Linked DNA regions of Macaca mulatta. The protein of the gene in region 1 interacts with the protein of each later gene in a pairwise test. Links are inferred from orthologs where the notes say so. Each region holds a gene or a part of one and is shown in the gene's direction. Other genes may lie near its edges. The genes, in order: PITX1 and ZBTB32.

Region 1 (4,501 bases):
ATAACTGCATTAAATGCACTAACAGTGAGGATACAGCCCCTCAGACTAAGCAGTGAGTGCTGCTCACAAAACAGTTCCCACTGGGGGATGGCCCAAAGAGTCACTTTGGTCCCTCTGGGAAGTGAGGGGGCTATGAGTCCCAACCTCCTCTGGATGCCCACAGACAGATCATTCATTTCTAAGTCTCTGCCCAGAGACGCACGGTGCTTCCCACCTTGGCCTGACATGTGGCGGGGTTAGAACACACCTCCTATCCCATGCCAGCCGGCGTTCATGCCAAGTAGCACACATATGCCTAAACTCAGCGCTTCCATAGTGCAGTGAGTACATGTGTGTGCACAGCATCTCCGCATGGATGTATAGGATGTGCGTGTGCGCGCGTGCCCCCATGCTGTCTGCACTCAGGCTGTTCTATGGGATAAGACAGCTAAAAGGAGAATGGTGTGTGAAGGGACACTCCCCAGCATGCTGCAGCACCTGAATATCTCCTTGAAAGGAGGGATCTTCTACTGGAGACTCCAAGAAACGTGGTAAAGGTGGGGCTGAGGGCAAATGCTGGGCAACTGTGCTTCCCCATGTTCCTCTGCCCATGACCAAGACTCATTTCATGGAGGGAGATCTCAGCTTGGAAGAAGGCAGAAGTCACTGAGCCTCCCCAACCCAAACTCCTGGGAAGTGTCATCCCTCTGGCCTCAGACCCTGCATTCTATGGTCACAGACGCACAGTGAGAAAGGGCCAGGCCCTAAGGAGCTGTGCTGTCTCTCCATGGCCCAGAGTGGGGGATGGGGGCAGGGGTGCTTTGGACTAACATGGAGGGAATGGAAGGCAGGTCTGGTTCCAGCCTGTGTGCCTGCCCCTGGCCCCAGCCGCCCTCACAAGGAGCTCAGCTGACCGTGGGTGTCTCCCTGTGATGCGAAGGGGTAAGGCGAGGACTCAAAGGCAGAACCTGCAGAGTGCCCCAGACGCCGACACCTGCGCAGTCAGTGCCACCCACCCAGGAGTTGAGGAGGCACTGGGTTTTGGGGTGAGGACACTGGACACCTCCCTGCTTCTTTCCCAGACCGACAATCTCCCTGGCGCTGCTCCCTTGGGTTGCTGTGTCTGGTGGAGCTGGTCACAGGTGAGGGGCAGAGGGCAGTCTGGGGTCCGCCTATGGCCAGAGAAGCAGGTCAGGGCGGCGCCTTGCCGCCCCAGCTGTGGCCTGTTTGCTCAAGACGCTGAGGTCTTGGGGCCAGGTAACAATTGTTGAGCAAAATCCTTCGACAAACTTCACCTACGTGCAAGGACTTGAGGAGGGAATCACTCTTGGGAGTGGGAGAGTAATGTCTTTGCCTGTGCCCAGTGAAGGCCCATTGGAGCTGCAACTCAGCTACCACTGTGTGGGAGAGAAGCTGGAAGACTGAGGGCTTCCTGGGCTGCTGGCCCAGGGTTGGGAGACAGCAGTCACCTGGCCTACCAGGCCTGTGCCTGAAGCCCTGGGAAGCCAGGATGCAGGCCCCAGGCTGGGACAAAGCTACCCTGAAGGAGGGCAAAGGCTGCCAAGGCCAACCCCATGCCTGCCAAGGCCAGGCCTGGCCCATTTGGCCAAAGTGTAAGGTGTAAAACAAGGGGAGAGGTAGAAGAGGCTGTGGGGCCTGGCTGGGATTCTGGGGTCTTCCCTCTGCATTCTCCAAACGCCTAGAGCCAGCAGAAACGTTTCGTCTGATTAGAAGCCATCATTTCTATCCCAATCCCGGAAAATTGACTGCGGTGCAGAGAGGGAGGCCTGAGAAGCAGCCTTAGGGGAGAAGGTCCAAGCTAATTAGGAGGCAGCATCCGGGGGCCCATTAGAGCGCAGGCTGCTGTCACTCAGCCGGGCTGAGTTCCCGGGAGAAGAGGCTGGAGAAGGAGGGGCAGGCGGCCCCTCGACGAGGACACCGCTGGGAGCTGCCGGAACGGGCCCCGGGCTCTGCCCCCGCCCCGGCGCTGGCTCGAAGGCGCCCGCTCCGTGCGATCCTGCTCGGCAAACATTCACTCATCCTGGGCTGTTCTCGCCAGCGCTGGGGACTTCGAGGCGGCCGAGACGGGAGTTGATTCTAGGCGAAACAAGTCATTTGGGGCCTGAGGTGGGCACGAGCCGCCCGGGACTTGCAGCCCAGATGCGTTTCTTTTGTGAGGCCGAGGGAGAACTCGGTGTGTCACCGGGGAAGGAGGGAGAGGCGCGGCGAGGCCGCGGGGGGCGGGGAGGCGGCGGGAAGGTGGCTGCGGAGGGGGAGGGCGCGGGCGAGGCAGGGAGGGAGGGAGGGCGGCAGAGAGGGCGCGGCGGCGCGGGCGGCTTGGGGCTGGATTCCGCCCGCGCTCCCTCGCTCGCTCGCTCCCTCCCCAGCCCCCTCCCACCCAGGCCCACCCCACCCAGCACCCCTGGCGCAGGGACTGCTGGAACCTGGCTGTGCGCGCTGTCGCTTTAAGACAGACTCTGCCGGCGCCGTCCGGAGCCTTAGAAACCGGCCCCGGATCGCGAGTCGGAGCCGGAGCCGGGGCCGGCCCGGCTGCTGAGGCCCGAGCGGCAGAAGCGCAGCACAGAGCGCTAAGCCAGGCGCCCGGTCGCGAGAAGCTGCCGCCGCCTCTGCCCGCCCGGCCCCGCAGCCCCGGGCGGTCCATGGGGCGGGTACGGCGTCGCTGCGGGCGCCGGCAGCCCTGGAGGGCAGCTGCTTAGGCGCTGCGCTCTTGTCCCCGCAGGTCGCAGCCAGGGCGGCGGGGCGCGCCCAGCCCCGGCCCCTGGAGCGCCCGCCGCGGTCCCCACCTCCATGGACGCCTTCAAGGGGGGCATGAGCCTGGAGCGGCTACCGGAGGGGCTCCGGCCGCCGCCGCCGCCACCCCATGACATGGGGCCCGCCTTCCACCTGGCCCGGCCCGCCGACCACCGCGAGCAGCTCGAGAACTCCGCCAGCGAGTCGTCTGACACCGAGCTGCCAGGTAAGCGCCGTTCCCCTCGCGGCGCGCACGGAGCCTACTTGGGCGCGGGGCACGGGGAGCTGGGAGCAGGGCCTGACGCCCGCGCCGTGCAACCAAGCTCCCTCTCCGCCCCAGAAGCGTCAGGAGCTTTCTTTTTCCCGTTCTCGACCTGATGGTGAACGCGGAAACTTAACGCATACGCGAAGGCACTTCCACGCGGTCCCCACGCGCCAACAGACTGGCAGATGCATGAGCCTACAGCTAGAGGGTTGGACTGACAGCCCCTCTTGATCAGGAGTAAATAGAACGGGGGAAAATTGGATTTGCGCAACTGGGCACTAAGAAGCGACTCGGACGAAGGGAGAGGAGCAGACCGAGAAAGGAATGGGGGTGACGGGCGAGAGAACGCCCTCAGAGAGACAGAGAGAGAGGCTAACACCGTGACAGTAGGCGACAGAATGAAAGAGAGAGGCCAAAGAGAAGGGGCGGGCGGGAAGGGTAAACGGGGAGAGGGGGTCATCAAGTAGAAGGAAGACACAGAAGACGGTGAGGGCGAGCGGGCCAAGAGGCGCGGCCGGACTCCCAGCAAGGCCAGCCCGAACCCCGATCGAGGGATCCGGCCCACGTGTGCAGCCGAAGCCCGGAGCTGCCCGGCCCTGGCCCCCGCCCCGGCTCCGGCGCGTCTCCCTCCGCGCTGCCTTTTTGTACGAGCTGGAGCTTTTTTCCAGCAGCGAACTGGGCCCGGGGGTGGCCGGCGCGGGCAGTAGGGTAGCGAATCCGCTGCCCAGCACAGCCGCCTGGGTCCCCGAGGGGCTCAGAGCTCCCCGGCATGGGCGCCTCTTCTGCTCGTTTCTTCTGTTCATTTCTTAATACACAGCTGAGTGTTTCTTTACACTTTCTTAATCTGTTTGTTTCTCTTTTGCATCCCTAAGTGATTTTTCTGAGAGGTTCTGTTTGCTTGGTTAAAACACAATCAACGCTGAACTATACTTTTGTTTTCAAAAGTTTTAAGTGCGGTCTTTGGTTGGTTTTATTTTTAAAACCTAGAGAGATATATAATCATAGATTGATTTTTTGAACCAAATCTATGAGGATGAATTAACAATTTTAACTTTATCTTTCGATTTTGAAATAATTAATATACTAAGTGTAGGTCTCTGGAATTTAAAATATCTACATGCAACATTATTCTTCCGGAGATTTTAAAAAGTCAATCCAAAATGGCGCGTTTCTCCGGAATTTTCTCAAAATCCATTTACAGTGGTGTTATTTGGGGAATTTAAATTATCTAACTATAATGTGTTTCTCTGGGATTTAAAAATTATCTCTGTAAGGGCCTTATTGGGAGGGAGTTAAAAATCTATTTACAACGGTACATTATTTTTTTAAATCCCAAAGAAATAAATGCTTCTGTCAGCCTGGAGTTTATACACTTACAGGTCTGTATTTAGTTAGGGGTGTGTTTGTACCGAGCTTTCTGGCTTCTTAATTTACATTTGCTCTGTGTTTCTTCCTGTCTGATTTTGAGAATTTGTGGCCCTTTCTGTGTCTTTAGGCATAGAGCTG
Region 2 (4,404 bases), on another chromosome or scaffold:
CAGGGTTCACAGCAGGGTTCGAGTCCCTGCAATGCCCGTACCTGCTGCGGGACCTGAAATAAACGACTTCAGGCCGGGCGCGGTGGCTCACGCCTGTAATCCCAGCACTTTGGGAGGCCGAGGCGGGCGGATCACAAGGTCAGGAGATCGAGACCACGGTGAAACCCCGTCTCTACTAAAAATACAAAAAATTAGCCGGGCGCGGTGGCGGGCGCCTGTAGTCCCAGCTACTCAGGAGGCTGAGGCAGGAGAATGGCGTAAACCCAGGAGGCGGAGCTTGCAGTGAGCCGAGATTGCGCCACTGCACTCCAGCCTGGGCGACAGAGCGAGAGTCCGTCTCAAAAAACAAAAACAAAAAACAAAAAAAAACAAAAACAAAAACAAAACAAAACAAAAAGGCCGGGCGCGGTGGCTCACGCCTGTAATCCCAGCACTTTGGGAGGCCGAGGCGGGCGGATCACAAGGTCAGGAAATCGAGACCATGGTGAAACCCCGTCTCTACTAAAAATAGAAAAAATTAGCCGGGCGCAGTGGCTGGCGCCTGTAGTCCCAGCTACTCGGGAGGCTGAGGCAGGAGAATGGCGTGAACCCGGGAGGCGGAGCTTGCAGTGAGCCGAGATTGCGCCACTGCACTCCAGCCTGGGCGACAGAGCAAGACTCCGTCTCAAAAAAAAAAAAAAAAAAAAAAAAAAAACGACTTCACCTCTTTAGTTATTTAGGTTATTTAGGTTTCAACGAGTTGATGCACAAGCGTAGCACATGGAAAGGGCTGGATAAACGCGAGGTGCTGTTACTCCCACCACAGCGCCAGTCCTTCTCCCCTTTTTACTTTACTTTTTATTTTTATTTTTTGAGATAGAGTCTTGCTCTTTCGCCCAGGCTGGAGCGTAGTGGCGCCATCTTGGCTCACTGTAACTTCCGCCTCTCGGGTTCAAGCAATTCACCTGTCTCAGCCTCCTGAGTAGCTGGGATTACAGGCGTCCCCCACCACGTCTGGCTAATTTTTGTATTTTTAGTAGAGACGGGGTTTCACTATATTTGTCAGGCTGGTCTCGAACTCCGGAGCTCAGGTGATCTGCCCGCCTCGGCCTCCCAAAGTGCTGGGATTACAGGCGTGAGCCACCGTGCCCGGCCCCTTCCCCCATTTTAGCGGTTTCGCTCCCTATTGGGGCCAGGGACGCCTCAGGCTGTCTCTGTCAAGACCTACAGCTCTGGCTGTTGTCCCAGGCTCTTCCGCGAGGTGCTCTCCTGCCTCCTGACCACCCCCATTCCCCCCCGCTCGAACTCCTCAGCGAGCGGCTGCGAAGGACGCGCCAACACTCCGCGTAGCGGGAAGGGACCGAAATCTCATCACAGCCTGAAATTGCTGCGCTAAACTCCCGCCCCGCTGCCCTCTGGTCAGTTTAAAGCGAAGACGAGCCTTAGGGCCAGTCAGAGGCGGCAGCGGAGGAGCCATGCCCGCCTCCTTGAGGCGCCCTGGCGTCTCATTGGCTGTGCTTGAGAATGAATCCCGGGCTAAGCCGCTTAGAAAGGAGCGGAGCCAGCCAATCAGCGGTGCAACCGCCGCGGGGGCCGGGCCAGAAGGCCCGCAGACAAGCACCTCGGAAGATTGGCAAGGGGCGAGCTCGCAGCTTGTCAGCCCCGAAGCCCTGCCCAGGGGGAAAGCCTGCTGGAGGGAGTCTAATCCCCGGGCCAGTTAATGTTGGGGCAGCGCAATCGGCCGTTCCCTCTGCGGTGGGGTGGTGGGCGGGAGTGCTGACACGTCCGCGCGCCGTTACTCCTGGCTGAGCATACAGTCGAGGTGGCAGTGGGAATTGGAAGTGCGAGTGTCACACTGCCAATCACCGGGCAAGGTACTGCCCCCTCTTGTGTCTTCCTTGTCCCTGTACACGTCCAGGCGAGGCAGAGTGAGCTGTGCCAGCAGTCGTAGTGGAGTGGGACAAGAGGACAAGAGGAGAGAAAAGGGAGCTGTCCACAGGCACCGAAGCCTGGCTGACTTTTTTTTTTTTTTGAGGCGGAGTCTCGCTCTGTCTCCTAGGCGGAGTGCAGTGGTGCGATCTCGGCTCCCTGCAATCCCGGGGTTCAAGCGATTCTCCTGTCTCAGGCTCCCAAGTAGCTGGAATTACAGGTGCCCGCCACCACGCTCAGCTAATTTTTGTATTTTTAGTAGAGATGGGGTTTCACCATGTTGGTCATGCTGTTCTCGAACTCCTGACTCCAGATGATCCGCCCGCCTCAGCCTCTCAAAGTGCTGGGATTACAGGCGTGAGCCACCGCGCCCTGCCTGGCTGGCTCTTTTATTTTATCTTTATTTATTAGAGACAGGGTCTCACTATGTCACCCAGGCTGCAGTGCAGTGATGTGATCATAGCTCACTGCAGCCTCGACCTCCTGGGCTCAAGGGATCCTACTACCACCTGGACCTCTCAAAGCGCTGGGATTACGGGCATGAGACACAGTGCCTGGCCTTGGCTTGCTCTTATGGGCCTCCAGGCCAATCAGGTGTGGCGGCAGCCTACACACCCCTACACACTTCCCAGATGGTAAAGGGTTGAGAGAAAGGTGACAGGGTTTGCAAATGGGAGCTACTTAGGGAGGCAAAATAGAAGCAAGAAAGGCAGGTCAGGCACGGTGTCTCACGGCTGTAGTCCCAGAATTTTGGGAGGCCCAGGCGGGAGGATTGCTTGAGCCCAGGAGTTCCAGGCTGCAGTGAACTATGATTGCACCATTGCACTCCAGCACGGGCAACGGAGGGAGACCCTGTTCATAAAATAAAAATGAAATAATTTTTTTTTTTTTTTAAAAAAAAGGACAGTGGTACTCCGGAGCACTTGCTGAGGGAGCCTCCAGGGCTGTTCAGGTAAGGGAGAATCAGGGTCCAGTCTCTTCATGGAGAGAGTGGGAAAGGGCAGACTCCACAGCCAATCAACGCTGGAGCCCGGCTGGAAATCAATGAAATCTCAGCCTAAGAGGCCTGAAGCCTACGGACCAATGAGACTCAAGGCCCTGCCTCTTCACAGCCAATCAGCTGCAGGTCAGAGACAGACGCGCGGGAGTGGCGCTGTCCTAGGTGCCTCCCATGCTGCCCAGCGTGCTCAGCTGGCCTGAGCGGGAGAGTGCGACCCGCGCTGCAGCCAATCAGCGTCCGCCTCAGGATCTGGGGGTGACCACGTGCGGGAGCCTTGCGTCCCTGGCCTCGCTCCACTCCCCACTTTTAACGGTCACTCGGCCTTGAGCCATCCTGAGTGTATGTGAGGCTGAAAGGGAAGGAGGAACAGGGTCTGGGCCGGTGAGTGCCATAGTTTTTCTTTACTTTCTTGGGCTTGGGCCTGGCCCAGGCAAAGCTGGGGTGTGGGAGTTTGGCCCCGTTGATGATTGGGAAGTGCGGGTTGAGGGTTTTAGCCCTTAGGGCTTTCCTCTGTCTTTGAGAGGCTGGAAATGCAGCCTCCTGGCCACCTTTAGGCCTAGGTTTGGCAGAGGCCAAGCCAGCTTGCCCTCTGGGTTGGTCCACGGCCCCTGAGGCCAGCCTGAGTGCGAAGGGTGTTGTGGGGAAGTTGCAGGCCCTTAGCTCTGCACAGGGTCATTGACCATGAGGTATGGCCTCTGGACAATGAGAGGTTACGAGGGGTCTCTGGACTGAGCCTGAATCTGGTGACTGAAAGGAGAGGCCTGAGGATCTCCAAAGGTTATGTAGGGGCCGGGCACGGTGGCTCATGCCTGTAATCCCAGCACTTTGGGAGGCTGAGGCAGGTGGATCATTTGAGGTCAGGAGTTTGAGACCAGCCTGGCCAACATGGAGAAACTCTGTCTCTACGAGGTTTCCAAAAAAAATTACCTGGGCATGGGGGCACATGTCTGTAATTCCAGTTACTCAGAAAGCTGAGGCAGGAGCACAGCTTGAACCCGGGAGGTGAAGGTTGCAGTGAGCCGAGATTGTGCCATTGCACTCCAGCCTGGGCGACAGAACGAGACCCTGTCTTAAGAAAAAAAAAAAAGAAAAGGAAAAAAAAAGTTACGTAGAAAGTCACTGGCCAAGAGATGAAACTAGTGTTCACTTGAAGGTCTTCTGGGGTCTTTGGAGCCAGCCTGGGCTGGGAGTGAATGTTCTGGACTCCAGGTTGAGATGTTCTTGGGAGATTTCCCAGTATGGGGTCCAGGTTGGATGATGTGGCCAAGAGGTTAGGCCAGTAATCCTCTGGAGATTCTAGGGAGAAGGGTTCTGAATCTCAGCCAAGCTGTTTGCCCTGGATGAAGTATTATTACCCTGTGGTGGCTCTGTACAGAACTAGGATTGGGTGGCCGGGCGTGGTGGCTCACACCTGTAATCCCAGCACTTTGGGAGGCTGAGGTGGGCGGATCACCAGGTCAGGAGCTCGAGACCAGCCTGACCAAGATGGTGAAACC

Evidence for each region.
Region 2: the proteins of PITX1 (region 1) and ZBTB32 interact in a two-hybrid assay, tested with the Homo sapiens proteins (2 studies listed by BioGRID). The link is inferred for Macaca mulatta from reciprocal best matches to the Homo sapiens genes PITX1 and ZBTB32.

What each region holds. Positions count from the first base shown.
Region 1 is NC_133411.1:143,947,183-143,951,683, reverse strand, and holds the start of PITX1 (pituitary homeobox 1), read left to right. Parts: upstream 1-1,427; 5' UTR 1,428-2,139; coding exon 2,140-2,173; intron 2,174-2,719; coding exon 2,720-2,956; intron 2,957-4,501. UniProt on the Homo sapiens protein: Sequence-specific transcription factor that binds gene promoters and activates their transcription. May play a role in the development of anterior structures, and in particular, the brain and facies and in specifying the identity or structure of hindlimb.
Region 2 is NC_133424.1:46,949,179-46,953,582, forward strand, and holds the start of ZBTB32 (zinc finger and BTB domain-containing protein 32), read left to right. Parts: upstream 1-1,579; 5' UTR 1,580-1,853; intron 1,854-2,810; 5' UTR 2,811-2,860; intron 2,861-3,080; exon of another isoform or gene 3,081-3,289; intron 3,290-4,404. UniProt on the Homo sapiens protein: DNA-binding protein that binds to the to a 5'-TGTACAGTGT-3' core sequence. May function as a transcriptional transactivator and transcriptional repressor. Probably exerts its repressor effect by preventing GATA3 from binding to DNA.